Linked DNA regions of Schizosaccharomyces pombe. Changing the gene in region 1 together with any one later gene gives a genetic interaction. Each region holds a gene or a part of one and is shown on either strand. Other genes may lie near its edges. The genes, in order: erv46 and SPOM_SPBPB2B2.18.

Region 1 (4,153 bases):
AGTAAAATATGTAAAGTCCGCCTGGACGGGGGAATGCGAAAATAAGGCAGTGTGTAATCGCCGAAATTGATTAGCAAGCAAGTAATTGTCAGTGAATCCATTAGTCAACGAAAATGCAAGTGGGAAAAAAATAATTGAATGAATGGATCCATTCATTCAATTTATTATTTATCCCTTAAAAGAAAAAACTCTTTTGCTTATGATGTCCAATTGTTTACAAAAGCATCGGTGGAAATAAAAGCGCAAGTGCAGTATAACAAAACATACAAGCATAACCAACCTTACAAGCGCTGTGTGTCTTGCCTTGCAAAACCTCTATTGGGATGTACACCTAAGAAGGACTCTACTTAGGAAGGTGAAGGTTGTGGGGGTTTGGGTTCTTTGGGGGCCACTTCAGGTTATCCTAGATAAAAATATTCGGTGCTCTCTGTTGATGATTTGATGATGATTGCCATAAGTTCAATCAAGCTCCGAAATTCCATACCACTGGATCGCCAAGTGCAGTACATGAGGATAGATAGATTGGAAGCGACGGTCGAGTAGATATCGGATGGCCGAATGGGCAGAGAGTGTTGGTCGATAAAAAAGGTGGAGGAACCTCCAACTAGTACATTTACGAAAGGGTTATGATGGGAATGAGCAAAAGGTGGTCTCTCCTTGCAGGCAAAGAATGAGGAGGAAAAGGAGTAACGAGAGGTTCCTCTGACATTTGTGTGGATATGCACTCATGTGATTACAATTACCCTTTCCTAAACCCGATCTGTGCTTACACTTCGTATTGTGAATGGTTGTGAATTACTTAGGCATACATAGTGCACCATGAGAAGTCAGCGAAACAAGGTTGGCCCAATATGGAGAACAGCCATACGCACGAGTGTGTTGGAGCGTCTTTTCTGCGATTGCTGACCAAATAATGAATTAAGCTTTTTTTAGGATGGCGAAAAATGGGGAAAAGACATAGGATAATGACTGATGTACATCAAGGGAAACTCATCAAATCGCACAAGTTGCCGGATCCTGTGTCTCCCAAATACCCATTTACAAGGCATCCTTGTACATCTTTCTTGTTAGTTGCGCATCATAACGAAACCAGCGGTGCTAGTATACAAGGTATTTGGTTAAACAGTGTTGGCGACGGTGATGCTTGAAATTGAGTCATACATTGATGGTATCCGTATTAGACATGCTAAAAAAAAAAATTTGTAGTAGCGTTGCGTTTATCCCATAGTGTTTGGTTTAGGTTTATATTAGAGAAGCTTGGATTCCGCTTATTCAACAAGCGCTTATTCGAAAGTGCTTAGATCGCATAAGCGCTTATTGAATAAACTGTGTAAACTCAATAGGTAGTTCGGATTGTGCTTGCTAAATAGTACTTGGATTGTTTTTTAGTCAATAATACTTAGATTTTGTTTAAAGACAATAATACCTGGAACGTATACGCACTTATACTTGAACTATATTTACTCAATCACACTGAGTTGTACTTAATAACACTGAGTTTTCCTTTCAAATTACTATTTGTCTTCTCTTTTTTAGTTAATTGATCTACTTTTTCCTCGGCGTTTACATTAAACTCCACGTTAAAACTGAAACGCCTTTTAGGCTCCCTTAGAATACATTCCATTTGAACCCATATATATCTGATTTTTCAATAAACAATCATAATCCCTGTCAAACTAATTCAATCCCTCTTTGCACCTCTGTCTATTAACCTACTTCTAGTCCTGCGCTTGGGTTGACCCTCAACGTATACTTTCCCCGACTACCTCAAGCCCCCTTAGTCAAGTTGTTTCGACAATTTCCAAATATTTCATTCTGGGAATGATCGTTTTTCAAGTTCAAGCACATTATTTTATATAAGATTTGGTGGTCAGCATTTCACAAAGCTCTAACATAACCGTGCATAGTTGGAACCACTGAGGTGGGCCCTTCTAATCCTTTAATCCAAAAAAAGTATTTTCAAGTTGGTTCAAAGAACTGCTTCTCCATATAATCGTTTTTTTCCTCTGTATTATTGTTACAAAAACGTATCTATCGACCGATAGTTTCAAAAAATGCAATTCCGTTCACCCCTTAGGCGTTTTGATGCCTTTCAAAAAACTGTCGAAGATGCTCGCATAAAAACTGCTAGTGGCGGTCTTATAACACTCGTTTCCGGACTTATTGTCATTTTTATTGTTCTCATGGAATGGATCAATTACAGGCGAGTCATCGCAGTCCATGAAATCATCGTCAATCCCTCACATGGCGATCGAATGGAAATCAATTTTAACATCACCTTCCCCCGTATCCCTTGTCAAATACTTACTGTCGATGTCTTGGATGTCAGTGGTGAATTCCAGCGTGACATCCACCATACCGTTTCTAAAACGAGGTTGAGCCCTTCGGGCGAAATTATAAGCGTTGATGATTTGGATATTGGAAATCAACAATCTATTTCTGACGACGGAGCCGCTGAATGTGGTGATTGTTATGGGGCAGCCGACTTTGCTCCTGAAGATACCCCAGGTTGTTGCAATACCTGTGATGCCGTTCGAGATGCGTACGGTAAGGCACACTGGCGAATTGGTGACGTTGATGCCTTTAAACAGTGTAAAGATGAAAACTTTAAGGAGCTTTATGAAGCTCAAAAGGTCGAAGGTTGTAACTTGGCTGGTCAGCTCTCCGTCAATCGAATGGCCGGTAATTTCCACATTGCTCCTGGACGATCTACTCAAAACGGAAATCAGCATGTTCATGATACACGTGACTACATTAATGAACTCGATTTGCATGACATGAGTCACTCCATCCATCATCTTAGTTTCGGCCCTCCTTTAGATGCGTCTGTCCACTATTCCAATCCTTTAGATGGAACAGTGAAAAAGGTAAGCACTGCCGATTATCGCTACGAATATTTTATTAAGTGCGTTTCCTACCAATTCATGCCTTTGTCTAAGAGCACACTTCCCATAGACACAAACAAATATGCTGTCACACAGCATGAACGTTCTATTCGTGGCGGTCGTGAAGAAAAAGTCCCTACCCATGTTAACTTTCATGGCGGAATCCCTGGTGTATGGTTTCAATTTGATATTAGTCCTATGCGTGTTATTGAACGTCAAGTACGTGGCAATACCTTTGGTGGATTTTTGAGTAATGTTTTAGCTTTGCTTGGGGGCTGCGTTACACTTGCTTCGTTTGTTGATAGAGGCTATTATGAGGTTCAAAAGTTAAAGAAAAATTGATCAGATTGTTTATGCACTAAATTTGTTTTGTTTTGTTTTTCGTTCTTTTCTTTTCTTCTGTTTGGTCCTATCGATCAATGTAAATACCATCGGTTTCCATGGCAAGTGCCTGATTTGTAACTTTAGATACTCTATTTCCTATACTATTCCAAATTGATACCACTTGATATTTCATGACTCGCTTATCAATCACAAATTGCTTTTAGCCTCGTTTAGCAAACAACCACTCGCTATATTCACATTGAAGAGCATACGAACCACGCACTTTCTTTCCCTACATCTCAATTCATTTCTTTTAATGTTAAACTCGTCTTCTTTCTAATTAAACATACAAAGATAAAGATCTTTCTATCTGGTGTATTCAATTTTACAAGGACATATAGTATTAGATATATTCGCTTTCCGAACCTAAAGTATTGTCTTGATTCTATAGCATTTTAAATAAAAAGGAAATTAAAATGAATTGAATTGTCTTAAAGTATTAATAAAAATAAGTATTATTTGTAGTACGAGTGATCAAAATTTTTTTAGTTTTTTTTTAGTGCACTCCAAGGAAGATCGTGCCAAGCGGAATGGTATGAGTTGTCATATCCATACACGCTCTTCTACCATAAGCATAACCCCGAGACCGACAATCATACGTCTTAGAAGCCACAAGGAAAACCGATCGTTTCCATTGGAAACCAATTTCCCTTTTCCAAATACATACATTTACAATTAGCGCTCTTTTGTACGGTGTGATCCTATAGAAACGGTTTCGAAAAATAGCAAACCACAATTTGCTGCTTTGGATAAATCACTTTTAGAAAAGCTTTCGATTTACGTGTGAAAACGGTTTTAGTATAGTCGTTATTAGAGCTGCATGGAATCGTGGAGTTTATTAAAGATTTAACAAACGAATTCAACTCGAAAAAAGAAATCCAAAA
Region 2 (3,781 bases), on another chromosome or scaffold:
ATCGATTGCTTTAGAAATAGCCCTTTCGGAAATATCAATACCCACGACTTTATATCCAAGACTGGCTAAATATCTAGCATTTCTATTTGGTTCACAACCGGCATCTAATACATTCTCATGTAATTTCCCCAGTTGTACAAGATTCATGATCTATTCGTCTGGTTTCTCATTATCAAATGGTGTTGCGGGATCTTCATACATATTTTCCCAACTATTTTTTACTTCAGAGATATATTTCTTCATTGTTCTTAATGATATATAAAAAATGGTGAAATATTTATTTATTGCCCCATCATGTTTATTTTTATATCCTTCTTTCTCTGTCAGGAAATCTATTTCCGAGCTGACGATAAAAAAACATGTTGCAAGTCGCCGAAACTACCTCGGCTTTTATTACTATGTCCGAAAAGTGCGCGAAATATTGGAATGGCTTGTAAATTATGCATTTAGCCAAATAAAGTGATAGTAAGCGCAAAGTGTATGACTCAATGAAAATCGGGTGTATCAACTACTCAGTTGTTTACCATACAATGTATTGTAAATTATGGGTAGTGTCGTCGCTATTACATTTAAAAAATATATTATATTGAAGGTATCTAATAAGAAGTAAATGTTTTTCTGTGTAATAATAGTGAATTCTTCTCATCAAAAATATAAACGAACTGATTTTTCGTCACCTTATTAGGTTATACAAAGTCATAACAATGCAAAACCAAAGCGGATAGCATATCAAACTAAGAATATGACTTGCTATTAAAAATTAGTTTCGCTTGAGTTTTATTTTAAGAGTAGTAATAGTCAGAATTTATTGTGCTGATACACTTCAACTTACTTGATTAATAATTGAAAAAGAGAAATTTACAATTGAAATTGAAATGGATGGATTTGAAACAAACCATTCGTCAACATCACCGCTACTTTAAAAATGCTACTGTACTTGCGAGTATAACTACACAAAAGTACATATTTAAGCGATTGCATCAAGTAATGTCATATATAGAAATACAATAATATAAACGGAGCACAAACTGAACCTCGTTCTTGATATATCAAGTCCTCTTTATTGTACCATAATGTTGTATGTCGTTGTGCTATATTTTTTTGTAAGTTACAATCATACTGATTGGCATAGCTTCTGCTTTTAACATAACGGCGATCAAGCCATATTTGATCAGGTTAGGCAGAATTCCAATGATTGCATTAGAAGGTTTAGATCTTCAAGTCAATTTTACGATTACAAGCAAAGGAGAAATAGCAATCAAGCCAGTATCGAATACTCATTACACGTATATAGCAAGATACTATGGAATTGTTATCGTGATATGAATCTTGATGGTGGATTATTATAGCCCTGGTGCAGATCACTAATATCGGTTTTCGAGTAAGAATGATTCTTGCTTTCTGACCTAGTGACTTTCTCAATAGAGAAAAGTATAATGACTTGAAATTTAGAAAACGTTCTAATGGAGTTAATGGAGTGAGTTCTAATGAAACGAGGAAAAAATTTGTTATGATATACTACGACGCATCCAAATGTAAAGGATCGGAATTTAGATGAAACCGATGGTACTTCCGAGTAAATGTACCAACAATATAATAAATAAATCAGCAATTTTACTGCTAGACAATATTTCACTGTGAGGCTTAGTCTTGGTATAAATAGAGGGACTCTGTCAAAACAAATATTTTGAACTAGACTCGAATTCTTCATAATTCTATTCACTTGAGTGTTTATTTTTTTTAACAATGCCATTACATTTACGAGATATGTGGATATCCACTGACGATTATAAGGATGTTTTACTTACGTGTCCTGTGTGGTATGAAATTAGTGAAAGAGAATTAAATCATGCTGTTTGGGGACAATATTAAAATGGTGAAGTTATAATGAAACAGTTGTTGGAAGCGATTAGTTTCAAAAATTAGCGACTCGTATTTTGTTTATTATTATTATTATTTTTTCTTTTTTTTTTATTCGCTGTTTTAAAATTGTTTCCAGCAATCTTCTTCCTGTTCTCTTTTTATCCGTTTGACAACACATTTTGCTAATGCTTTTTTTTTTTTTTAGTTCAAAGAAGACTGGTACGAGAAATAAACAAGTTCAGTAGTTTCGAAAGCAATTGGCTCTTTCTTTTGTTTTTAGTCCGAGTATGTCGTCAGTTGAAAACCGTAACGGTTCTCATTGTGCCTGTTCTTCCGGTTTATACGAATAAGGTAAGAACATTCAAGAAAGCGTTTGATATGAAGTCTGTTCCATTATTGCTCTTAGTGCCTGACAAACGTTGTTAGTCTGTTTTGAGTTTACAAGTTTGTTAAGCTAATAGCCATTCATTGATCTTCATTGTTACATGCTTTCCATGGAATAGTTGGAGGTGTTTACTTTTCAACTTGTTAGCGATCGCTTGCTAACATTTTTAATAATAGGTACTTTGTTGTTCTCAGTGTGACTGGCACGAACCAGCAAATGTTTACTCGATTGAACAAAGGCGTAGTCATGATGATGATCTTCCTACCATTAAGGGTTCTGATGCTAGTACTCAACAGTATGAAAGAAAAACTTATATTACCGATGCTAGTCCCGAATCTCAGAATCTGTTTTTAAGCAAAAGTAAAGAGGAGGGAGTTATCTTCTTATGCATACAAGTAAGCTTTTAACCTTGATTCTATTTATTCACTTTTACCATTTACTACTTTCGCAAATTCCTGTTTTTTGTTGGGGATATGAAGGGGAATATAAGGGTAAAGTAGATGAAATGGATGTATTTGAAAGTTGATTTGGATTCGATTTATTACTTTGAATCCCCGTTTATTATTATACGTTTATGTCGTTTTAAAGAAAACCATGCGATGTACTATATTAATTTTGTAAAATATATATTATAGATAAAAAAATTGTTGGGAAAATGGGAAAGCAAGTTGAAAATAATTAAATTCAATAAATTAGCAAAATATGTTTATGAAGGTAACCAGTTTTTTCTTTTTATTTTTTTTTTGTCTATATGTCAGATTCGCAACTTTTAAGTTTGAACAAAACATTATTTCACATCGACTCAAAGGTTATGTGTATTTAAAACGTTCCAGTAAAAAAATATTCATTTGTAAAAAATAAATAGGTGGTATATTAAATAAGAATGAACTTACTACACAATTTCTGTGTAAAAAAGTGAGATTAAAATAACTGGATATTAATCCATTGATAAACAAATAATAAATAAAATAATCCCGGTAACCCCTTTAAAGGTGAATCAAGTAAACCATGGTTTTTGTCAAATCATTTTCTCTTGAGCCTCTTCAGCTACATTTCGATTGTAGGCAAGTGCTTCATTATGGGTGGGAAACATTATGTAACATGGAAAAGCAATTTTCTCCATAAAAGTGAAAAGATCACCAATGATCACCGACAGTCTGTAATCAAAGTTTCCAAATATAATATTCGACAGGTAATGCAACATTGGAGATGCACAGAATATAAAGATAAATGCATTTAGCATTCTTCTAAAAAATCTGGCTTTTGAAGCATTTTCGTAAGTTGTTACAGACGTGCATTGTTTCAATAAATGACAAATAGAATACACCCAAATTGCAGGAGATACCTCATACTGGATCATGTCAAAAATCTCTGATACTACATATACGTCTTTATATAAAGAAATCCAGTATACAGAACATAAAGCAATGACAATACTAATTCCTTTTATCATAAGATATTTAGGAACAGTTCTAGTTATGCCGAAACCCAATGCACAGTAAATCACAAATAATCGATAAAAATTTGTCCGAA

What was found.
Region 2: mutations in erv46 (region 1) and SPOM_SPBPB2B2.18 together harm fitness more than expected from each alone (negative genetic interaction), as found in Schizosaccharomyces pombe (one large-scale study listed by BioGRID).

The regions. Positions count from the first base shown.
Region 1 is NC_003424.3:211,108-215,260, reverse strand, and holds erv46 (COPII-coated vesicle-associated protein Erv46), read left to right. Parts: upstream 1-1,737; 5' UTR 1,738-2,054; coding exon 2,055-3,227; 3' UTR 3,228-3,547; downstream 3,548-4,153.
Region 2 is NC_003423.3:4,500,644-4,504,424, forward strand, and holds SPOM_SPBPB2B2.18 (uncharacterized protein), read left to right. Parts: upstream 1-2,048; coding exon 2,049-2,082; intron 2,083-2,143; coding exon 2,144-2,214; intron 2,215-2,424; coding exon 2,425-2,643; intron 2,644-2,883; coding exon 2,884-3,021; downstream 3,022-3,781. Other genes in the region: ftm7 (transmembrane helix domain-containing protein), read right to left, coding at 1,313-1,753; SPOM_SPBPB2B2.19C (transmembrane helix domain-containing protein), read right to left, coding at 3,267-3,781.